3 linked regions of the Sus scrofa genome follow. The protein of the gene in region 3 interacts with the protein of the main gene of each other region in a biochemical or structural test. Links are inferred from orthologs where the notes say so. Each region holds a gene or a part of one and is shown on either strand. Other genes may lie near its edges.

Region 1 (8,469 bases), on a different chromosome or scaffold from region 3:
CTAGCTCTGTTTTTGATTTGTATTTCCCTAATGATCAGCGATGTCGCATATCTTTTCATGTGTTTATTGCTTATTATCTTCTTTGGAGAAATGCCTATTCATAACCTATGCTCATTTTTTAAAAACTGGGTTGTTTTTTGTTAAGTTTCAGCTCTTTATATTCTGGATATCAATCCCTTATCGGCTATATGATTTGCAATTTTTTTTTTTTTGTCTTTTTGCTATTTCTTTGGGCCGTTCTCGCGGCATATGGAGGTTTCCAGGCTAGGGGTCCAATCGCAGCTGTAGCCACTGGCCTACGCCAGAGCCACAGCAACGCGGGATCCGAGCCGTGTCTGCAACCTACACCATAGCTCACAGCAACGCCGGATCGTTAACCCACTGAGCAAGGTCAGGGACCGAACCCGCAACCTCATGGTTCCTAGTTGGATTCGTTAACCACTGCGCCATGACGGGAACTCCTGATTTGCAATTTTTTTTCTCTTGTGTGGGTTATCTTTTTACCCTTTCGATAATGTTCTTTGATGTACAAAACCTCATTTTTATTAAGTCTAACATATCTTTTTCATTTGTTGTCTGTGCTTTTGGTGTCATAGCCAAGGAATCCATGCCAAATATGTCATGAAAATTTCTCCTTTTGGAGTTCCCATTGTGACTCAGTGGAAATGAATCCAACTAGGAACCATGAGGTTGTGGGTTCAATCCCTAGCCTCGCTCAGTGGGTTAAAGATCTGGCATTTCTGTGAACTGTGGTGTAGATGGCAGACACGGCTCAGATCCTGCATTACTGTGGTGTAGGCTGGAAGCTGTAGCAACTGCAGCTCTGATTGGACCCCTAGCCTGGGAAGTTCCATATGCTGCTAAAAAGCAAAAAAAAAAAAAGAAAATTTCTTTTATTTTCCTCTATGGGTTTTAGCTCTTACGTTTAGATCTCGATCTATGTTTTGGTTTTTTTTGGCTGTTCCTGTGGCATGTGCAAGTTCCCAGGCCAGGAATTGAACTGGCACTATAGCAGCGACCCAAGCCACAACAGGAACAACACTGGATCCTTAACCCACTACTCCACCAGGGAGCTCCTTGATCCTTTAAAAAAAAAAAAAAAATCAAACAAACCTTTAATAACATGTATACAAATGGGGGAGACCCAGGAAAACTGCGTAGTTCAACAAAATAGCTTAAGCCCTTGCCTTAAATGCTGTATGCAGCTAAAGACAGAAGAGGATGTTGGCGGGGGTAGACATCAACGAAGAGGAAGGCAATTGACATGGAGATGGGAAAATAAATTGGTAAACAAATGTTTGCTGAGGTCTGAATAGACAATGGGACACAGAGGAGTTTTAACAGATTTTTTTGTCTTTTGAGGGCCGCACAAGTGGCATATGGAGGTTCCCAGGCTAATGGTCAGATTGAAGCTGTAGTAGCCGGCCTAAGCCACAGCCACAGTAATGCTAGATCCGAGCTGCATCTGTGTCTGCATGTGTGGGGAGGTAAGAATTTGATAATAAAAATTTTTAGGAGAAATTAAGTCATAAAGTTAAAAAAATCCACAGCTTTGGGGAAAAATTTGGACACTTATTGCCATTAACATGCTCCTCACTTCACTGGTCCACTTCAAACTTTTTTAGGATAAAAACTTGAAGTATATGAAACCAGCTTTCAAACTGTCTCTAAATTATTATCTAATGCGTAAGTTAACTCAAAATTTCTTGCCTCAGGAACTGCTATGGGAAAGAGGAGAGAGAAAAAAAGGTGGGCAGGGCAGGGAGTCCCTGTACTAGCTATTACACTGCTGTTTTAGTTAGAGCAGTTTCCTTTTACTGGCTATGTACTTTGGACTTCTGAACATGTTTTGTTAGAAGGGTTCTATTGCTAAAAACAAATCTAAAATTACTGTTTTAGATCAGAAGGGTTTATGAATTTTTCCATCATATTTAACAGAAAGCTGTTAAACTACATCAGATGATAGGTAGTTTGTAGCCATTGATTGCTAGATCAGAATAGCACAGTACATGTGTGTGAGTCAGGAAATTAGGCTAATTCTACCCTGGACCAGTCACTTAACTTCTCTGGATACTTAAGTACTTAACTATTATGACAAATGTGTGACAATGTTTAGTTTTAAAAAATGAATAGCAAAAAAGTAGCTCTTCCAAGATGAAGTAAAATATCACATCAATAAACAATTACAAAACACTTGTTACATGGTCTGCAAATTCCAGTCATGGCAGGATCTGCTCATATTATTCAAAGATGTTAACTAGCACAAATTCAAAGCACAGCAGAAACCTCTGAAGTAGGAAATATAATCTTAACCTCACTAAAATTTACCCCATATTAACTTTAATTCTAAGAAAATCTTAGAATTTAACCCAAATTTTCTAATTTGCTAACCATTTACTCCATGTATAAGGTAAGAAAGAAGCAGGTTTTCCATATTTATAATTTATAATAACTTATAATCCAAAATTGTTTTCTTAATGACATTCATTCTACTGAGACTTTATCATTCAAGAGGAATTTTAAGTCTTTGTGGTTTGAACAGTTTTCCATGTTCTGTAAATAACATTCTTTTATGTAGCTTCCCAATCATAATCAAGAAGCTCCTTCCATCTGGAGGATATCCCAACAAGACAACCAGAAGACAATCTCACTCTTTGTGAACTTTACACCAGACTAATAATCACAGAAACCTGAAAATTTTATCATTTATGATCAACAGCTGATAGAAATTTTAAGCTTAGTGTTTATGTGGTTGTAAGTTTTCCAAAAAGAAAAATTTAAATGATTACATATTAGAAAGTACTAGTTACAAAGTTTTCTTTTTTCGTCAAAAGTGTATGGTTTTGACTTACCCCTCCTAGATCCTTAATGTCCTTTTGCAGTTTTTCAGACAGGGCACCAGAAGGTAAGTCAATATAAAACACTTTTCCCCAGAGTGGCTTATATTTGGATTTTTCTGGTTTGTTATCAGTTTTCAGAGATTTCAAAGATGGTCGGTTTTTCTCATTTTTAACCTGGATTCCACCTGTTGTTTAAAAAATTTAGAATCAGATGATGTTTTATGTAGATGAAATTTCTACTGTTTTGAAAATATTCGTTTATATAATAATCATACTATATAGAGGGAAAAATCTTTATAATTTCACTAATTTAGCAGTCATTAACATTTTGTAGTACCACACAGAATAAAGGCAAAATACCCTATATATTTTAACAAACACTATGTCACAAAATAATTACTGCTTACAGTCAGTAGTTAGATTTGCAGGAAATACGTGTTTATTCATGTTTTATGCGTTAAGGCAGGGAACTATATGAAACCAATTACATCTTAGGATGTAAACTCCGTGGAGTACTTACCAAATACTCAAGGAGCTTCTGCCATTCTGTTGAACACTCAAAACTGGTACTTAACATGTTGAACATCAAATAATGCAAGAAACCTGTTACCCAGAATGACCCAATCCTCTAGTTTCTATCTGCTCAAGGTTTAGTTTCAGTCAGAGTTACTGTACATATTAAGAACTAAATGGTCCATTTGAAGAACTAAATCACCATTCATTTCATTCTTTTGAAAACAAATTTGAGATCCAAACAACTGTTTAAAAAATTAAGGACTCAATCTGCTCATAAGTAGAAGACCACAGTAAATATACATATACACTATACATCTAAAAGGAAAACTTAAAGGCTGGAATCCTTTACCAAATAAAAGTGATCGAAAAATGAAAATTTACCTTTGTTTCTATTTTGAAAACAACAATGGTGTGTTTGAAATACAAATACTTTCCCTCCACTTTATGAGTAAAACCAAAAATCTACACCCACAATCACCCAATTTAATCCTGAAGCGAAAAGCCCTCAGCACATCTGCTTTTAAAGAGACTCTAGCTACAGCCTCAAACGGTCGCAGCGTCTGTGGGAGCCCCGGAGAGTTCCCGGGTTCGCACATTGTCTTCAGATTTCACAACCGAAGGCACCACTGGGAATCTGCGGTTGAAGCTGGAACGCTGAGGGCGCGAGAGCAGGGCCGGGATCCACTCACTTTCTGAGGCAAAACCTTAAACCGAGCCTTCCTTCAGGCCTCAGAGCAGAAGGAACATGTCAGAATAGGAAAGCAGCAGACTCAGCGCGAGAAATCTCAAGAATTAATAATGGAACCAGGAGGGGAGGAAAGGATTAAAGGGACTGCGGGCGGAGGAGGGGCTTCATACCCTGGAAATGTCCTCTGCTGTGGATCCTCATGGCTCCGGAGTTCATGGCAACTCGCCGGTACCTACATGCTGGGTCCGGGGAGGGTGTCGCGCCGGGTGGCCGCGGAAACACAGCTCCTCGAGGCCCGTTGACCGGCCGCTCGCTTCTCCTCTTCCGCGGGCCACCACACCCACGAAGGAGAGAGGCCGCGTCTATCCGCCGGGTTTCCGGGGCCGAACTTAACCCCAGGGCGCGGAGCAGGAAAAGGTGAAGCACAACGAGTGGGCTGCGGCGGTTGAAGATTTGAAAACGCGTCACGCGACGCGGCGCCGATACGCGCGCCCCGCCCCCTCTCACGCGGCACGCCTCGCCCCGCCTCGCGCTCGCCCCCACGTGCCCGCCCCCTCGCGTCGCGCTGGACCCCTGCGTGCCCGCCTCTTCGCGCTGCGCGCCCCACCCCTCACGCCCCGCCTCCTCCCGCCGTGCGCCCCGCCCCCACGGGCCGCGTCTCCACCCGCTCCCCTCCCCCACTGCGATGCTTTCTCAGCCTCATCTTCGCGGTTGGTTCCTGCTGCTTCTTGTCCCTATGCTTTTTTGTACAGTCCCTGTGGCTCGGAGTTGACCAAACGTAGTGAATGCAGTTAGCACCAAAGGCCGGCCCACCCTGCCCTCAGCGTCATTCCCGCCTTTTGAGGTTGCTGGGACCGCCTGCACTGCAGCCGCCTCCTCCCTCAGGTACGCTAGTTTTCCTCGACCTGTCCGGAGGGCTGGAAGCGCGGCGGCTGCGGCCGAGCCAGGACTCACCTTTAGGCCGGGCAGGTTGGCAGCGACAGACTCTGTTCGGCTCGCCCAGAGTCGCAGAGCGTAGTTTTCCCGCGGTCGCCCCGCTGGCTGGAGGCAGGCCGCAAAGGGACTCTCCCGGCAGAGAGCGGCGGCGGGTTTGGGGGGGGCGTCGGAGCGAGGGTTGGGCCTGAAGGCCCCGGCCTGGAGCGCGTCCGGGGCGCTTTGTGCCTTTTGATGCTTGTGTGCACCGCTCAGTTAACCTCTGCTGTGCACTCTGTTGTTTTCGTCTTATTGGGTAGAAGTTTATTTCAGCAATAACAGAACGAAAGGGGAATTCGAAATCTCAAGTCTACGATTTGGGGTCTGGACCAACCACCGATTAGCCTGTAAAACTTGGGTTTAATTACCTAATCCCTTTGAGACTCAGTTTTTTCATCCGGGACTTGTAGTAAAGAATAAATTTGAATGTTTTGAGAAGTAAATTAATTTTCTAAGTGGGAGAGCGCTTACACATACAAAATGAATTTTGGTGTTTCTGCTCTTAAACTTCTTAAAGAGTAAAAAGGGTTAAATCTTGTGCTGTTTTGCTTTTCTTACCTCCTGGCCTCGGTGGTCACTTATTGTTTAATGATTGATTTTTAACTCAGTAGCTCGGGGAAGTTAGTGCCGATATCACCGTTTCACAAATAGGTAGTTTAAAGCAAAGATAAGGGTAAATTGTAATACCGTTAGTCAAAATGGAGAGCACAGAGAGGTGGTCCAGGTTTGCTAAGGGAAATTAGAGTTTTGCAGTGATGGTTTTAGTTTGAGGGGCTTGAGGAGACAGGTGTGGAACTGTCTTTATTAGACGCTTGGTAATATTTGTCTATAATTCAGGGGAGATGTTCTGGAGGGAGTGATGGTGGTGGCACAGAAAGGGAATATAGATTGATTTGAGAGACATGGTACAGACCAATCACTGATTCTCAGTCATAGGGTGATATGTAAAAGGTTATCAGATCTTGGAGGAGGTATAGTTTGAACAAACATATTTCCATTAGAATTTCTTTTTGGGAAATAAAATCTGTTTTCAAAATGTAGGCTACAAAAAGAGCACAAGATTTATATGTTCACAAGAAGTTTTAAAAGATTGAGAAACACCTAATATAGAATGCAGTTAAAGTCATGGGAGAAAATGAAATTGCCCTGGAGAGCATGTGAAATAGGAGAAGTAGTGATGAGCAGAGGATGAGGAAATAGAGAAAGAGATGGAGAAAAGGCCACAGAGTTAGAACTGGGAACCAGTCTTCAAATGTCACATAGTTAAAAACATTGGGATTGACAGGCTTTACTAACTATATGGCTTTGGGTAATTTTGATCTAGATTTTAATTTGTGAAAAGAGGGTAATAAACACTTCCAGGTGTTCTGAGAATTAATTGAAACTCTTTTGAGAGCTAATTATTAGTGCAGTGCCTGATAGAGTGAGAGCTGGCAAGTGCTGTCGTTTTGTTGAACTCCTGTTATCAGCCTCTCCGTCTTCAGAGTTCCAAAAGGCTAAGACTGGAAAAATAGGGCTTGGATTCTGGTGATGAAGATGTTTTTTGGTTACTTAGTGACAGTTTCAGTAGATGGCTAAGGTAAGTACTATATAAAAATGATGGGCTTGAAGTGGAGACAGGTTGAATATATTACTAAAAAATTTGTCCCTGTAGGGAATTTATAGGAAGGGACAATAGGGTCTTGGGGAGGTTTGGGGGATATGGGAAAGATTTATACATGTTTCTGTTGAAGAAAAGAAAAACAGGGAGTCTATTTTATGTTCCAGGGAAAGATGAGGTACCTTTCTTATTTACTGTATTGAGGAAGAACAGTAACATATTGTCATCCTAGGCTTTTAGACACACCCTTGACTGCACTGTAAGTGATAATGTCAAGCTGTGAATAAGCAGAAAGTCTGTTTTTACTGGACAGTGTTAAAAAATGTCTGATCTGTAACCTAAGGACATTTAAAAAAATTATTTTTGGGAGTTGTCTTTGTGGCTCAGTGGGTTAAGAACCTGTTTAGTACCCATGAGGATGCAAGTTCCATCCCTGGCCTAGCTCAGAGGGTTAAGGATCCAGCGTTGCTGCAGACTGCCGTGTAAGTCCAGGATGTGGCTCAGATCTGGCGTGGCTGTGGTGTAGGCTGGCAGCTGCAGCTCTGGTTCAGCCCCTAGCCTGGGAAGTTCTGAATGCTGCAGGTGTGGCCCTAAAAAAAAAGAAACGGTATTGAAACTCAACGAATTTCCTGGTGGCTCAGCTAGTTAAGGATCTGGTGTTGTCACTGCTGTGGTGCTGGTTTGATCCCTACCTGGCCCTGGAACTTATGCATGCTGCAGGTGCCCCCCGCCCCCAAAAAAAGCCGGGAATGAAACTCAGATCTTTTAGTAGCCACCAGAAGAGGGACATGGTCATATATCTGTGGCCTGTTAACATAAGTCTCCTTAGTGGACTCCTTACTATCATGTAAATAATCAGGACTGTTGGTAATGAGGTTTATGTTAGTACATCTTGATAAGCTTCACATGAAAGGTATACATTCAAAAAGAAATGGGGCAGTGTTACTTGTGAAAAGTTGGGTAAAGTTCTCTCAAGCAAAGTTGCAGACCATTGAAGAGAATCATGGTCTAATTAAATAAAACATTTGGCTCTGAATCAAGAGAAAATGAATTTCATTCAGTACTGGCTCTAATCCTAGGTAATTTTATGACCTTGGGAAAATACTAACCTGCTCTACTACAATTTCCTCATCTATAAATGGAAGTAATATGTGCCCTGTCTACCCCACACCTTTTTGTGATTATCAAATGAGGCTCTAATTTGTTTTTTCAGACTACCTCATATATATACAAATATACATTTTTAATTTATTTTTATCTTATTATTTTTGCTTTTTAGGGCTGCACCTGTGGTATGTGGAGGTTCCCAAGCTAGGGGTCTAATAGGAGCTACAGCTGCCGGCCTCCACCATAGCCACAGCAATGCCAGATCCGAGCTGCATCTGGGACCTACACCACAGCTCATGGCAATGCCGGATCCTTAACCCACTGAGTGAGGCCAGGGATGGAATCTGCAACCTCATGGTTCCTAGTCAGATTTGTTTCTGCTGCACCACAACGGGAACTCCCAAATATACATTTTTATTCTAGAGTGTAGACAAATGGATTTAATCATTCTTCTGTAATACCACTTCCCTTTCTTCTTTTTCTTAAGCCTCTCTACCTGGCTGGCTGGAGGTTGCTCCTCTTTCTTTTTCATAGCAAGCCTGACTTAGATTCAACCTTTTATCTCCTTATTTGGGGCCTTCAGTAATATCCCAGTAATTTATTGATATATTATCTCCTGAAATGTGTTCTTTTGCTATTTTTATTAGTTAATTTTCATGTTTTAGAGTCTCACTACCTTGGTGAATTGGAGGGCCTAAGGTTTTTCTGAGGTTAGTTTTTAGTTTTCCAGGCTAAGCTTATGAAAG
Region 2 (8,408 bases), on a different chromosome or scaffold from region 3:
CCTAGTCGGATTCGTTAACCACTGCGCCACGACGGGAACTCCACATAGCTGTATTCTAAATGTAAATGTATACTGAGAACGGCAAAGGCATGACCATGCGCAGGCAAAATGTGTCCCTTAAAAGGACTTCTGTCCTTTAAAAACAAAACAAAACAAAACAAAACGAAACTGAATTTTCTACTTTTTCAGCCCTATGCTGAAAATCAACTTGATTTCATACCAATTAATGAAAACGTAAATGTCTGAACAGGAGGTTAATTACTAGCTACAATGAGCAAACGGAATAGAAGTAATAACAGCTTCTGAACCAGGTAATTGCTGGCAAACAGAAAAGATTCTCTTTGAATTGAAATTTGGATGGGGGAGGAGTCAGTTTTAATAAGACTTTTGGGTTTTAAAAACCCCTAGTAAAGAATTCAGCTGTTATCCTTATTATGAAAATTAATCTCAGCATCAAAACTAGCTAGGCACCAAATATCAGGAGAAGTGCTGATCAAGTAATTTAAGCTAAGAAAGTGTTATATTAGCATATAAGTTATACCCAGTATTTTAGACATCAAAGATGTATCTATAATAAGACGTACTGTTCGCTTCTCAATATATTAACAAATACTTTATGTAAAACATGCAGACATTGAAAGTCTACTCAGCTTTGAGTTCTAATCCTGAGTTTGCTCTAGCAGCAAAACTATGAATCTCACTAAAACTGCATAATTTGTGAGAAAGTCCTTTCTATTCTCTGCTTCTATTTTTTCTAATTATAAGGCCAGGTTTTCCCTGAAATTTTTAATAAAAAGCAAGCATCTATTTATTAGGTGAGTTTGTTTTTAGGACGTGAATCATTACTTGTTCAAATATTTAGTGAAGATCTTTTTTTAAAACTCAGGAAAGCCATAAGTATTGCACAAGTAATACAAATACCTGAATTTATATGTGCACACACATAAAGATACATAAATATCAGTTCACCTAAATCACTCTCCAATTTAAGATCTGACCAGAGGACTACAATGATTTAATACGGAATTTTATGGCAGCACAACAATACAATCATAGGCCATCTATCATTTCCTTTTGCCAAGTTGAACAAAGTGGATGGAGAGAGAAGATGGTAACATGTAATAACAATAATGACAATATCCGAATTAAGGCTGGATCAGGCTGCAGCTGTTCACATGAGGGAGGAAGGGGAAAATAGGTATGAAATTCTCCAAGGGTCCCATCTAGCTTAGAATTATCTTGGTGAGACTTGCTCCTGGTCCCTAACAGAGTTCACTGCTAAGGTATTCAACATCCTCAGAAATCACAAGTGTCCCCAAATGAGGGAGGGCTCTGGGGAAGACTTCCAAAAGGGGCACAAGGCGAGAACGAGGCAGAAAGGCTCTTTTTCTTCACCAGATAGCGGCAGCTTGCAAAGCCAGGCCCTTGGTGCCTACATCCATTACCACAAATTGCTGGAGCTCCCCTGTTGCCTTCATATTCAAAGGCCTAGGGATTTCAGGGTGCAAAGGGATTGCTGCTTGCCAGTGAATCAAAGTTGGTGGTAAACAGGTAGAAGCTAGTTTCATACTGAACAAAATCCTTTTCTGTGCCCCTTCTGCATCCATACCCATTTCCAAAAAGCTTCCCAACTTCCTCTTACATCTGATTTGAACAGTCACTTTCATACTCATTTTCAGTAGAATACTTCAATTTTCTCATTAAAGTAATGCATACACAGTTTGCTGGGTGAACACATTAAGATAGAACAGAGGAGTGGTTTTCTTGGGGGTAATATTAACAATTACTTCCATTCAAAATAAGGAAGGTGGTAACTAATCATTTCTTTCTTTCTTTTTTGCTTTTTAGGGCTGCACTAGCGGCATATGGAGGTTCCCAGGCTAGGGGTCGAATAGGAGCTGTAGCTGCAGGCCTATACCACAGCCACATCAGATTCAAGCCCCGTCTTCCATCTACACCAGCAGCTCATGGCAACGCTGGATCCTTAACCCAAAGAGCGGAGGCCAGGGATCAAACCGCAATTTCCTGGTTCCTAGTCGGATTCCTTTCCGCTGCACCACGAGGGGAACTTTGATAACTGATCAGCTAATCATTTCTTAAAATGCTCATTTAAATGGTTTTGGTGGTCTGCTTAGGGATGAGCATTTAAAAAAATAAAAGCAGACAAAAGCAGCAACGTTTTATATGCAATGTGTATATGTGTGTGCACACAGATACACACACATGTGCACACAAATATTTTCCAAAAAATCACAACGTTAAAGACTCTTTTACCTGCCTTGCCAGTTAACTTCTGCGGGTGGACCCCCATCCAAGGATTTTCCTCCCCACGTGGCGAGGCCACCTGCCCCGAACCCAGTTCCGAGCCTCATTACGTTCTCCCTCAACGTCCCAAGCCCCATCGCTGCCACCCGCGTTCCTTCCTCTTCCTGGGCCACTATCTCGGCGTTCCTGGACCCGCCTCAGGCCGTGACTGCCGGAACCCGCCAGGGAAGACCTCTCGTGGGGACTGTCCGCACCACGTGCGACCCTAAAACCCCAGATCTCCTCTCCCACCCTGCCGGGCCAAATGCACCAGAACCCGGGCCGACCAGGAGCAACCTCTGGTGCGCAAGGACTCAAAATGAGCGAGGACACGCCGCCACCACGGATTAGGAAGCCCCAGCCCAAACCAGGGGCCAACCCGCAGCTATGTGGCCTCTCTCTGGGAGAAGGTGTAGGTGTGTGGGCCAGCGAAGGGGATCTAGCCGCGCTCTGGGGCGGGCGCGGTCAAGGCGCCACGGCCTGCGCAGCCCCGAGGGCCCCGCGTCGCTCTCCCGAGCCAAGGTTCTCAGGAGCGGGCCGAGGAAAAGACGTTGGCGGGAGGAGTTAGTGGCTGTTGGGAGAACGGGTTCAAGGAAACAGTCCCTTCCAAACCCTGGCCATCGCGGGGTGGGCCTTCTTCCTCCCTGCCAGACCCGGGAGGCCAGCCAGAAAGGGCGCGGGTGCCCGCGGCGACCCGCTCGCCCGGGCACGCCCGGGCAGGGCAGCGCAGGAAGAGCCCGGGGCGGCTGCCGGTTGGTCCCTCCCAGCCCTGAACGCCCAGGGGTCGCGGTGCGTCCGCCCCGAGCGTGTCAGGTGAGGAGGTCGCCATAGCGATGCGACCCGGATCGCGCACGCCGGCCGCGGTTGGCATGGAAACGGCCCCCCCGTGAGGCCCGAGAGCGCCGCTGATTGGCCGATTCAACAGACGCGGGGGGCGGGGGAGTTGAAAATAATTAGAGCTGAGGAGCTGGCAGCCCAGGCTGAGATCCCGGCGCCAAGGCTGGAATCTATTAACACCTCGGTCCCCTTCCGCCTCGCCCCGCCCCGCCCCCGCCCCCTTAGGCTGCCCCTCATTCCCAATCCTGGTGTGCACTTGCCAATTGTTCGAGACATATATAAAGACATAAAGCTGAGACGAGCGAGGCCCGCTGTGGGCTTCAAGCAGGTTTTGGGGTCTTATGTCTTGCGGGAGGAGGGCCGCGGAAGAGCACGCTTCTTGTCACTTGGGAAGGGGATATATTTTCCCACAGTGATGTATCCTGGGTCGACTGCAGGCAGAGGGATGGTGGGGTGATGGATAAGTCTCATAGCCGGAAAAGACATAGACCTGTAGGTTTGGACTCCCAATTAACCTGGGGCTTAGTGTCCGGCCGTGGAGGTCTGCCTTCCTCCTTCCAGCCGTCAGCCTGGTTTGGGAAGAAAGCCTGGAGAGATTCAAATCCCTGTTTTGGTTCAAAGTAGCTTTGATCGCTTGCACCGTGGCTCAGGCCTTTTCAACCCTAATAACTGCAGTGAAGATCATATGTTTCAGTGCTCTCTCTTCTGGGGATTTGCTGCATTCTGGAGCCCGTGCTGGAAGAGGTTGACTAACCAGCATGTCTGTTTCTCCTTCCCTGATAGCAGTAGCCTGTGGAGACTGAGGCTATGCATCTCAGTAGCTCCAAGAGCGGGAGAGTGCTGGCTCCAGTGTCCGGAGGTCCTGATGCCTGTCAGATGATGTCCAGAGCCCAGCTCAGCCAGGATCCACCACAAAGAACAGTACTAGGGGTGCTAACCGAGAATGGGCAATACAGGAGGACCTGTGGCCAGGTAACGACTGAGAAGAGCTGGGACGGTTACCTGTTGAGAAGGGCTCTCATGTCATGGTGAGAGGTGGGTTTCTCTGGCAGTTTTACCTACAGACGTCCCCTGAGTATTTCAACCCTGGAATCTGGACTAGAGGGACCTTGATTTATTAAAGATTTCTTTCTTGGGTCCTTTTTCTAGCTAGAAATATTGAATACTTTTCTGTTATTTTTCCGATATCAAGGAAAGAAACCTAGGAACTGTTTAGAGTAAGTATGCGTAAAGTCATTTAAGTTCTGGGCTAAAAGGAAATGAGAATGCTCCAAAATAAACTGTGGAACTGGGGTTCCCACAGATTGGAGCGGTATCCACACTGATCTCGGCTGTGCCTGAGGCATCCTGGGTAACTTTTAAGTTCATTGGTGATGGTGTAGAATCAGGATTGGATCAGCCTATCCTAGATTACTTCAAAATGCGTGCTTTGAAAGTAGACTTCTCTCCAGGACTGACTAAGGACAGTTGGGCAAACAGCTCATGGGCCATCTGACATTAGTTGCTTGCACTTAACGGATCAGAGATACTTCCTTTAACTGATTGTAAACAAATTCAGAGACTTATAATGTAAAAGAGGAGTTTGGATCCTTAAGAATGAATTTTGAGATTAAACAAAAAAAATCTAAGTCTGTTATTAGACAAAGCTTCTCATAACCATGCCTTAAGTCTGTAGTGTACATATGTAGTGGAATGACATTGGCAACCATACAGTGACATAGGTGGGCAGGTGTTCTTTCCATTTTATATGTGAGCAAATTTGAGAGGTTTAAAAAAGACCAAAAAAGAAAAGAAATTCATGATGGAGACCAGATCAGAAGCCTCTCCTCATCTACAGACTATTCAAGTCATCTGTTTTGGTGACATCTGATTAGTGAGAGAAAAATACCCAAAGTAATGTTTCAAGCGTTGGAAAAAACAGAGTAAAGGTGGTTTTAACAAACTTAATGTGCTTAGTGGTGTTTACTTCTTTAAACTTGAAGTTGAAAACCTCTTACGAATTGGCAGTTACACCTACGCTGACTGAGCTCACTTTAAATTCACAACTGTCAATTAAGCTCTGTGTTGCCTGGCGATACCTCTACATTTCCCGACTCTATTCCTCTGCACCCTTCTTATAGAAACCTCCTATTTTATACATTCCCTTCTCTTTTTATCCTTGAAAGCCTCCATCTCCATCCTTACTCTCAGTTAATAACTATATCCTATTTTCCTAAAAATATAGATGTAACCGGAAGAGAATTTCCACATGGTCCCGTGTACCTACCATATACTCTGCCACCCCCTTCCCGCTACGTAACCCATGTGTCCCTGCTCTTATGCAAGGGGAACGCCCCGTGTGTGCAGCACACCTTATGCCCTTTTGCCTTTTTAAGGATATCATTCCATCACCTTGTCTTTCTCTTTTCCACTGGATCAAACCCAGAAGCATGAAAATATACTGTGATTTTTTTTTTTTTTCATTCCTAAAAACCTTGCAACTACAAAGCTCTTTGCAGCAACTGTCCCATTTATGGCAGTATTTCTTGAGGGTTTGTCTATGTAAATTCCATCAGGATGAGGGTTTGGGACATTGGGTTTACTGCTGTACTTCCAGTGTTTAGAACAGTGCCTGGCCAGGGTAGCATGCGAGGATTTATTGAACAAATACTGTGTCTCAGATTCTTCTCTTGTTCTCTTTGACTCAATTCTTAATCAGTTCTCAAGCCTTTCCTTACTTGACCAGTTGGCAGCATTTGACATTGTTGATCATTCTTCACTCCTTGAAATAGTTTCTTCTCACGCAGTCTGGAGAACAGGGCCTGGTTTCCAACCTAGCTCACTGGCTGTACCTCCTCGGTGGTCCTTCCTCATCCGCTCGCTAAAAGTTAGAGTGTGCCAGGGCTTCGTATTTGAGCTGAATCTCCACTCACTCCCATAGCAATCTCTTCCAGTCTCCTGGCATTAAATACCATCTCTCTGTTGATGACTCATTCTTTTAGCTCCTGTCTGGACCTCTTAGCCATGTTGCAGGCTTATACAGTCAGCTGCCTCTTTGATGTCTCCACTTACATCATATGGTAGGCATCTCAAACTTATGTGAAATCAAACGCCATCCCTGGTCTCAACCTGTTCTTCTCAGAGTCTGCCTCACTGCAGCAAATGGAATATCCACCTTTCCTGTTATTCAACCCTAAAACCTTGGTCATGCTTGACTCTTCTTCTCCCACCCCACATCTGATTTGCTGAGAAAATACTATTAGCTATACTTTTTACAGTCTCTAGAATCTCATTATGTCCTATAATAAGGTTCTATGGCTTGTAAGAGAATTTATGTATATACCTTTCTAAAATCATCACATCTCTAAATAATCAGATATAAATGGGAATTTTACAGAAGCTTGTTGACTAAAAGTTAACTATTTAAGGACAATAGGAACTCAGTAACTATGTGGCAGGAACCTTGCTGGGTTGGTATAAAAGCCTGTGATGCTATAAGCATGAAACTGATTTACATTTCCCCCCCCCCCGCCATATGTGGTACCTATTTCACTTCAGAGGAGAGCTATAGTTTTTCTTTTTTGTTCTATAATCTTGTGTTCTCTTTGATAAATACTGTGAGGAAGATGACAAATTTTAGGTAGCTCCTTTCCCAAATGTCAAATGTAGACAAATGGCAAAGTCATTCTTCAGCAGCTTCATTTTCTGAAGTTCAGTGGCTGACACAGATACTTCAATTTAAGATTCCTCTCATCTTCCCAGACTACCAGTTTGAATTGCACAAGTTCTTAACACCTATTTGGTCTATGGGATGGCCTCTAACAAAAAAACCTTAACCCTTTTCTAGGAGATCACAGCACTCAGGTGTTTCTCTGGATCCGAAAATGTCCTCCCTCCAGCCGGAAAGAAGGTGCTCTCTGACAGCGGGGTTCAGGCACCAGCCAAGCAAGGATTTGACATCTACATGGATGAGCCCGAGCAGGGGGACAGAGACAGCTGCGCAGGGAGAGAGGGGATGGCATTTGAGGATGCCTATGAAGTAGACACCAGCACATTCAAGTCAGACCTTCACTTCCTGTTGGACTTTAACACAGGTAATCTGACGCACCTATGGCTGACAGTACCCTGGGTTTGTAATCGCCGGCAGTGTTCACTAGCATATGGCAAGCAAAAGATAACCACCAAGTAGTAATGGTTTCCACAACTGCCTATGGAGGGTTAGTGGATGGAACTAGTTTTTAAATTAAATGTCTTACCTGACAATGTTGAACCCCCTGCAGTTTCCCCTATGCTGGTAGATTCATCTCTCTACTCCCAGTCTGAAGATGCATCAGATTTTGGTACAGATGTGATAAATGTGACTGAATATGCTGAAGAAATTCATCAGTACCTTAGAGAAGCTGAAGTGAGTCCTCCCAACTTCTCCTTCCATTCCCAGCACCCCAAGCACTTCATGTTGAGATAGGTATAAACTCTCGGCCATAACCACTAGTGAGTGGCATTCTTGTAACATGTAAACACTACGAACATGTATGAAAAATAATAGTTGGGAGGTGAATAGCAATTACTTGGACTATTTATCTAAGACTCAAAGGGTTAGTATATTAAGTATTTCACTCTTGAAATGAGCATTATCGCCCCCCTGCCCCGTTTAAGTTCCTTGTTAATGAATGACATTACAGAACCAGAATTTCGTACTTTCTTCCATATCATCATCGAGATTTATTTGGCTCTTGATTGAGTTTCCTCCTAGCCTTTGCTCATGGGGTTTTTAAAAGTAGCAACTGTGCTGTGGAGTGATCAGTGATCTTTCCATCATAGCAACTATTTAAGTATCAAAATTCTCTCCCCAAGCAGATGAGATACCGGCCTAAAGCGCACTACATGAGGAAACAACCAGATATCACAGAAGGCATGCGAACGATTCTGGTGGACTGGCTGGTTGAGGTTGGAGAAGAATATAAGCTTCGGGCAGAGACCCTCTACCTGGCCGTCAACTTCCTGGACAGGTTTCTCTCGTGCATGTCTGTTCTGAGAGGGAAGCTGCAGCTTGTAGGAACAGCAGCTATTCTCCTGGCTTCGTAAGTGTTTTTCAGCTCAGATAATGTGATACTTCAGCCTGTCAAAACACTTGATTTCGACTTATTTATTGAAGAAATGCAGCCCTTAATAGTAAAACTTATGCATGCCTCCTTTGATGAAATATCATCATTTTTACAGTGTTTACTGAGAAACTGCATCTCACCACATGTTCACTCTTCACTTTAGATGTTTAAGATCCTCTTAAA
Region 3 (7,148 bases):
CAAAAAATAAATAAAAAATTAAATTGCAGCCTTTTAAAAATAAATAACCTTAGATTTAATAAGTAACAGTTTTTTCTCAAACTAAACATGCAAACCTAACCCCATGTAAAGAGTCATTAAGTTCTGGGTCTCTTCAATCTTGCTGACTTTTGATTCCTTGGGTGGAGTTTGTTATTTATGACGAATGATGGAAGGACAGTGACTTTGTGTGTGTAAATCAAAGCTGTTCCATCTAGCAGGTCTGGTATCTTTCAGGGTCAAAGTTAGAGGAAAAAATTGAAATGCAATTACATTATATTGTAACATTTAAAAAATATTTGTAGGAATTAAGCTGAACTGTATTGTAGTGAGAAGAACCTACATTCTCCTTTCCTGTTCACTGACCAGGTGCCTGAGTCCTCAGGTCCCAGCCTGGGCAGCCACACCTGTGCTCAGAAACTACCTTGGACCATGGGGATGAGGCTGACCTTTCTGCTCGGGGGTAAGGCGGCTCCAGCTGTTGGGAGGCTCCCCTGAGGGGGCAGCTCAGGACTTGGGTGGGCAGAGCTCTAATCCTGGACTTCCTGCCTTTAAGGATGGCCTCTTATGGATGTTGCATGCTTCCCCCCCCCCCGCCCCATTTTGGGACAAACACCTCACAGGCACCTGTCCCTGCACTGCACTGAGGGTGAGCCCCTCCCTGCTTTCAGAACCCACGAGCATTGAGCCATCACACGAGGATGGAACCCTCATTATATTCATTCAGCTCACATTCCCCGAGAACCAAACTTCAGTTGCAGCTGTTAAGTAACTTCCATCTTGGTGTTGAATGACAAGGTTCAGGAAAAATATCTCTAGGGTATACTTGCGGGGGGAAGGACCTCCGTCGACATCCTCAGGGTGCACTATTTCCCAAGGGGCTCTGGGTACTGAGCACATGTTCTGGAACTTCCAGTGTTTCAGCCGTTCTGCAGGCTGAGAATCATTTGGTGGAAACCCCTGTCTTATTTCCATATCAGGTCTACAACCTGTGTAAAGGAGGAATTCTCCAGTGGTGCAGTGGGTTAAGGATTGGGCATTGTCACTGTTGTGGCCTGGATTCAATCCCTGGCCAAAAAAATCCCAAAAAATCTGTGTAAAGGAATCAGCTCCAGAACCTGGTGGTAGCAGTGGTTTTTAATTAGCTTATAATTGTGTAAGGACTTCCGATGACTTTATACAATTTAGTGAGTTCCCTGGTGGCCTATTGGTTAGGACGTGGTGCTTTTCACCTCTGTGCCAAAAAAAGAAAAAAGAAAAAAAGACAATTTTGGGCAAAGCAGCTCTTGCTGTGGCCCTGCTCATTGGGTCCCAAGAGACGGGTGTGCCCCCCACAACTGGTCAGTGGCCTGAGAACCAGCCACCTGGAGACACGTGGACTCAAGACTTCTGACTCGGGCATGGTGGGGCTCACTTTCCCACCTGACTGGACCTTGAGCAGCATCCAAACACACTGAACTGAGCTGGAAGGCCAAGCTTGGTCCTAGAGCTGAAAGCTCCAGGCCTTTGCCCCAGCCCAACCATGGCCTCTAAGTAGGAGGCACTGAAAGAAGTAGGACGCACGGAGACCAAATTTAACCCACACTAACATTTTAATGCTGTTTAAACACTCAATTAAATCATTTTTGGAGTTCCTGTCGTGGCTCAGTGGTTAGCGAATCCGACTAGGAACCATGAGGTTGTGGGTTCGATCCCTCCTGGCCTTGCTCAGTGGGTTAAGGACCCAGCGTTGCTGTGAGCTGTAGTGTAGGTTGCAGACGCGGCTTGGATCCCGAGTTGCTGTGGCTCTGGCGTAGGCCGGTGGCTACAGCTCCAATTAGACCCCTAGCCTGGGAACCTCCATGTGAGCAGCCTTAGAAATGACAAAAGGAAAAAAAAATTTTCTATGAACACTTTACTAATGAATGTTGATTCTAAATAAAAAAGGCCAATTCATGAGAGTTCCCGTTGTGGCGAAGCAGAAACGAATACAACTAGGAACCATGAGGTTGTGGGTTCGATCCCTGGCCTCGCTCAGCCAGTTAAAAGATCTGGTGTTGGCGAAGCAGAAACGAATACAACTAGGAACCATGAGGTTGTGGGTTCGATCCCTGGCCTCGCCCAGTCAGTTAAAGATCTGGTGTTGCTGTGAGATGTAGTGTAGGTTGCAGACGCAGCTCGGATCCTGCGTTGCTGTGGCTGTGGTGTAGGCCGGCAGCTGTAGCTTTGATTTGACCCCTAGCCTGGGAACCTCCACATGCCACAGGTGCAGCCCTAAAAAGCACCTCCCCCCAAAAAAAGGCCAATTCAGATCTCCTTTGCAGCAGGTTAGGGATCCAACACTGTCACTATGGAGGCTTGGGTCATTGCTATGGTGTAGGTTTGATCCCTGGCCTGGGAACTTCCATGTGTTGAGGGTATAGCCAAAAAACAATCAAAGCCTTTGTCAAACTCCAGTGACTTCTGTGTTGCAGGGGTTACTTACCACAGCAGCATTTCCACCCAAGATTTTAGCCTATGGTGGTTTTAGGAGAATGACTGCTAGGAATGAGGTAATTTTTGAATAAAATGAAATTTATTCCATTTTAGTTCTTTTATGATTTAGATAAAGTACTCACCATCATGAATTTCCATGTTTATTAAAGCTTTTTTTTGTAATGAAAAATAATGCCAGATAACCAAGTATTATTTATTCTATCATTTATTGAGGAAAATGTTTGATACATATTAGGATGAAATAATAGAAAGTGACCAGACATTGGGCTGTTTCCAGCCTCATAGTAGCCAAAGGAACAAGCCAGGACTCAGCAAGGACAGGAACCCTCCAGGCACCATCACAGATCCAGCACAAGGCCAACACCCACCTGGCTGCCTCCTGTGGTCTGTACATGGTCCAGCCCTAGTGCTCAGAAGCAGGACTTGAGGACACAGGAAGATACTCTCCACCGTGTGCTCTTTACTCTGCACGGCACCTCTCTAGTAAACTGAACATCTAAGGAGCCCGTAACGACCCCGAGGCTCTCCCCAAGGCTGCTCACGGGCTTCAGAGCAAGCGCACTGTCTTGCCAGTCACCGTCAGGAAGTCGTCATCGGCCAGGGCACGTAGTGCTTCTTCAAACATGTCCCTGGTAATTGCCTTCAGGGAGAGAAGAGAAAAAGAAGTTGTGTATGTGGAGCCCCTTGTCACTGCGGCATCTCCTTTCTTGGCAGCTGCACACTGTCTCCTGCTCCCACTCAGGAGGCAAACATTCCCTGCTGAGAGGCTCTGCTCTGCGTAGCCACTTAGCTCTGCCTTGTGGGGCCAAGAAGAGTGTCACAAAAGCAGGCGAGGAGGGCATCCGACCAGAGGTCTTTCTGTGAACAGCTCAGCCTCCCTTGTTCACAAAAGGGAATCCAAGTGTTTTATCTCCCAAACAAACTTATTACCTCACATAGATTTGATAGTTATTAAGATGTGTGACAGTAACAGTGTAACAGCAAAAATATACAAACACTCTGAATATGTTATGAGGTTATTCACCGTCACAGATGATGCTAAGAGTGTATCACGGATGAAAAAGAAAAATAGTGAGTGACAAAAACGGAAACTGATAAGGTTCAAAGGCCACGTGTCCACATTCATATAGAAACGGAAAACCCAACAAAATTCTCATTGCAGTTGTTCCCTGATGGTGATTCTCTTTTGTCTATATCCACGGTTATTACTTCAACGGTAGATGCAGGAAAAAAAAACTTTAAAGCAGCATCAAAGGAAAAGAAAACTCTATTAAACAAAATATACACATTAACACTTACTATGTCAGACTGTCCCCGAATATCTTCAAAAAGTTGCTGATATTTCAAGGCTGGTGTTTTGCCCTTGGATAAAATAAGCTTTTTCAATGCTTCAGCTAACTCTTCTTTCCGCTTACGAGAAGTGGCACTCATTCCTGATTTAAAAGAAATTAATGAAGACATTTCTGCTATAACAAAGTGAAAATGTTTTAAATTTCTATTAATGTTTCTTTAGTCACGTCACCAAAAAAGGTTAGGGGATGGTGGCTGAGTGCCAGAATACACTCAAAGTCAGAACAAGTTCTGAATTGCTTCCCATTTTCTATAAGCACAAAGCTGTGACTTTCCACTGAGCAGCCCAGGCCGTCCGCATAGAAGCAGAGCTGCCCTCGCCCAGGATGCTGGACAGCACGAAGCCCTCTGCAGTCAGACACTGCTGCGTGGGCATGTCTGTCTCTCACAACCCCCACCAGTCTGGGGAGGGACACGGTGCCCGTGCAGCGCACCTGTGGTCAGGATGGAAATGTCCACAATGCCGGTCCGAGGGTCGGTCGCAGACTGCTTTAGGGCCTCCCGGTGCAGGCGCTTCGCCTCCTCCACGTCAACTGCCTCTACCTTGTTTGAAAAGCGCACTTTGGCGTGGGCTTCGGCTAGACGGATCAGTGACTCCAGCTGCCGGGGGTACGCGGACACCATCCCTCGGCTGCTGCCAATCTTCCTCATGTCCACATAAGCCTGCGAACACACAGACAAGCTGCCACTTCTTGCATGATGACGTCTGAACCCTGGTTGCTTGGGCTCCCCAGAAGCAAACCAAACCCCTACCCACCTCTCTGTGCAGACCAAGAGGGGGGCAAGAGCCAGGTCCAGCTCGGGCCTCAAACTGTTAGGGCCGAGGGGTCTGCCCAGGACACACAGGGGCCTGGTGCTCAGAGGATGGGCTGTATCAGGAACCCATCTGGCCTGTTTACACAGCAGCCAAGGGTTACTGGGCTAACGTGCAATGAGGTCAACTGTTTAAATGCACGTATGGATGACAAATTCCATCGAGATGATATAGATGGGCAGTTGCCTATCAGGTGTAACTCTCATCAGAGCATTTTTTGGGGCCTGTGTCAGGATGTAAAGCCCATCAAGAGCGAATAAAAATCCCCAACAAACAGAAAAAGGAGTTCTACAGTGGTCTAGTATCGTCATTGCTGTGGTGTGGGTTTGATCCTGCCCTGGAAACTTCCGCATACTGCAAGTATGGCTGAAAAAAAAAGCAGCCCAACAAAACATCAGGAACTTCCTTAGTATCATGTGTGAATAACCTGATGTGTGTCTTCATGCAGTGCTGCCCATGTAAAAGTTGCTGAAAAGTGAACATAAAAACAAGTAGATGAAGACCAGAGTTACAAAACTAAGTAGCACCACCTCTATTTTGGCTCAGGTCTTAAGGATACCATGTTTACAAGTATTTAAATAGAAAAAAAGTGCTTAACATGTAGAAATGAATCCTTTCCCCTTTCGACATTTGGAAAAGTCAGTTATGCAACACAGGAGGGAAAGTAGTTGCAGAAGAGCGTCTGTTGCTCTTGCCCAAACACTGGCTGCTTCAGAGGCTGCATAGCGCCCACAGTGCTCGGGCCTTAGGCAGCCTCGAGCGGACCTGGTACCTCGATGAGCGCCTGGCTGGCGTCCTGGCTCAGCCGGGGCAGGACGGTGCTGTGTGCATAGGCGATGTAGTCCCTGAGCACTGCCATGTCCATGACCTCCTCCTGCGCCTGCTCCTCGCTTTGGTAGTACAGGGACACCAGGTGGTGCGCCAGACGCCGGTCATAGGCTTCGTCCTGGGGGTCCAGCATGAGGAAGATGAGGTCAAACCTGAGAAGACATGGTCAAGGTTCCCTGTGGAGACAGCAGTGCACCTGCAGGGATGCCCAGGTGCACACCTTGAGCGCATGCTCCCTGCAGCTCTCAGGCACCAGAGGCTCCTGAGTCGGGAAACACCGTGACAGTTCTGAAGACTGAAGATGCAAATGGAAATAATTCAACAGTTCCAGGGGAAAGGAACCATTTGTTAAAAGAGTTGAGCCATCGAAATCTAAAATCTGCTTATGAAATACACCTATGTCTGAGAAAAGTGTGGGCTACGTGACTCCTTTTCCACCAGCTACATTTTCAGAACCTTTTCTACCACACGAAGCTGCTCTCTGCACTTTGCTGCTGACCCTACAGCGGCTGTAGGACCCCGTGCCCACAGAGACAGGCTTCTGCAAGGGCCAAGGTGAAAACACAAGCCTACTTCAGGGGAGCAGAGAAACACACAGTCCTCATCTTGAAAACCCGTGACGACCGGATCTGCAGACATCTACATTGCAGTGAACAGCTTATGACGGTGGCACGCATTGTCTTGGTGCTTCCTTTCGGCCACCCCCGTGGCACACAGAAATTCCCAGGCCAAGGGTCGAATCGGACCTGCAGCTGTGACCTACTCCATAGCGTGGCAATGCCGGATCCCTAAGCCACTGTGCCACTTACAGGGAGAAGCTGGATCCTTAACCCACGGTGCCACAGTGGGAACTCAACTATTTCCTTCTCTTCATCTCACCCCCAAGCCTTTCTAAATGAGCAAAGCATAACCATCTTCCATAAAAATACACTTCCATACCTCGATAACAGTGTGTGGGGCAGCTGGATGTTTTCAATGGTGGTTTTTTTCGGGTTCCACTGAGACTCGATAGGGTTTGCAGCTGCCAGGATGGAGGTGCGGGCGTTGAGCTGACAGATGATCCCAGCCTAGTAGAGGTACAGTGCAGTTAGAAGCCTTAGTCCCTCTGTCAGGGACCTGCTGTCACCACGAGCCACAGGGCCTAGCACAGTGACCTCACCACCAGGGACAGCGCCCTGAGTCAGATTTGTGCTGTTTCAGATCAGCTTTTGCTCTGAACACATCTTTCTCAGGAACTGACCCCTCGCACAACATTTAGGACAAACTTGAGTTCTATGAGGACAGTGACAGGAAAATACCCAGAGCCTGAGCTCCAGGCCCCGGTATGTCACCTTGGCGATGGAGAGTGTCTGCTGCTCCATGACCTCGTGCAGCACCGACCGCGTGCTCTCGTTCATCTTGTCGAACTCGTCGATGCAGCAGATGCCATTGTCACTCAGGACCAGGGCCCCCGTCTGCAGCACGAGCTGCCGCGTCTCGGGGTCCTTGGTGACATAGGCGGTGAGGCCGACGGCACTGGAGCCCTTCCCGGATGTGTACTGGCCCCGCGGCACCAGGTTGTACACGTACTGCAGCAGCTGGGACTTGCTGGTCCCGGGGTCCCCGCACAGCAGGATGTTGATCTCGGCCCGGAACTTGCCTCTCCCTGTGTGGCTGAAGTCCT

The links. The genes of interacting proteins can lie anywhere in the genome.
Region 1: of the proteins of MCM4 (region 3) and DBF4, one has a biochemical effect on the other in vitro, tested with the Homo sapiens proteins (2 studies listed by BioGRID). The link is inferred for Sus scrofa from reciprocal best matches to the Homo sapiens genes MCM4 and DBF4.
Region 2: the proteins of MCM4 (region 3) and CCNA1 form a complex in vitro, tested with the Homo sapiens proteins (2 studies listed by BioGRID and IntAct, with this or other methods). The link is inferred for Sus scrofa from reciprocal best matches to the Homo sapiens genes MCM4 and CCNA1.

Annotation. Positions count from the first base shown.
Region 1 is NC_010451.4:92,476,841-92,485,309, forward strand, and holds the start of DBF4 (protein DBF4 homolog A), read right to left. Parts: upstream 5,117-8,469; 5' UTR 4,999-5,116; exon of another isoform or gene 4,942-4,998; intron 4,930-4,941; exon of another isoform or gene 4,684-4,929; intron 4,541-4,683; exon of another isoform or gene 4,481-4,540; 5' UTR 4,261-4,480; coding exon 4,215-4,260; intron 3,026-4,214; coding exon 2,853-3,025; intron 1-2,852. UniProt on the Homo sapiens protein: Regulatory subunit for CDC7 which activates its kinase activity thereby playing a central role in DNA replication and cell proliferation. Required for progression of S phase.
Region 2 is NC_010453.5:12,392,857-12,401,264, forward strand, and holds the start of CCNA1 (cyclin-A1), read left to right. Parts: upstream 1-3,292; 5' UTR 3,293-3,469; exon of another isoform or gene 3,470-3,633; intron 3,634-3,924; 5' UTR 3,925-3,948; coding exon 3,949-4,113; intron 4,114-6,967; coding exon 6,968-7,214; intron 7,215-7,400; coding exon 7,401-7,525; intron 7,526-7,977; coding exon 7,978-8,201; intron 8,202-8,408. UniProt on the Homo sapiens protein: May be involved in the control of the cell cycle at the G1/S (start) and G2/M (mitosis) transitions. May primarily function in the control of the germline meiotic cell cycle and additionally in the control of mitotic cell cycle in some somatic cells.
Region 3 is NC_010446.5:79,672,055-79,679,202, forward strand, and holds the end of MCM4 (DNA replication licensing factor MCM4), read right to left. Parts: coding exon 6,817-7,148; intron 6,553-6,816; coding exon 6,425-6,552; intron 5,638-6,424; coding exon 5,430-5,637; intron 4,507-5,429; coding exon 4,278-4,506; intron 3,927-4,277; coding exon 3,793-3,926; intron 3,134-3,792; coding exon 3,041-3,133; 3' UTR 2,683-3,040; downstream 1-2,682. UniProt on the Homo sapiens protein: Acts as a component of the MCM2-7 complex (MCM complex) which is the replicative helicase essential for 'once per cell cycle' DNA replication initiation and elongation in eukaryotic cells.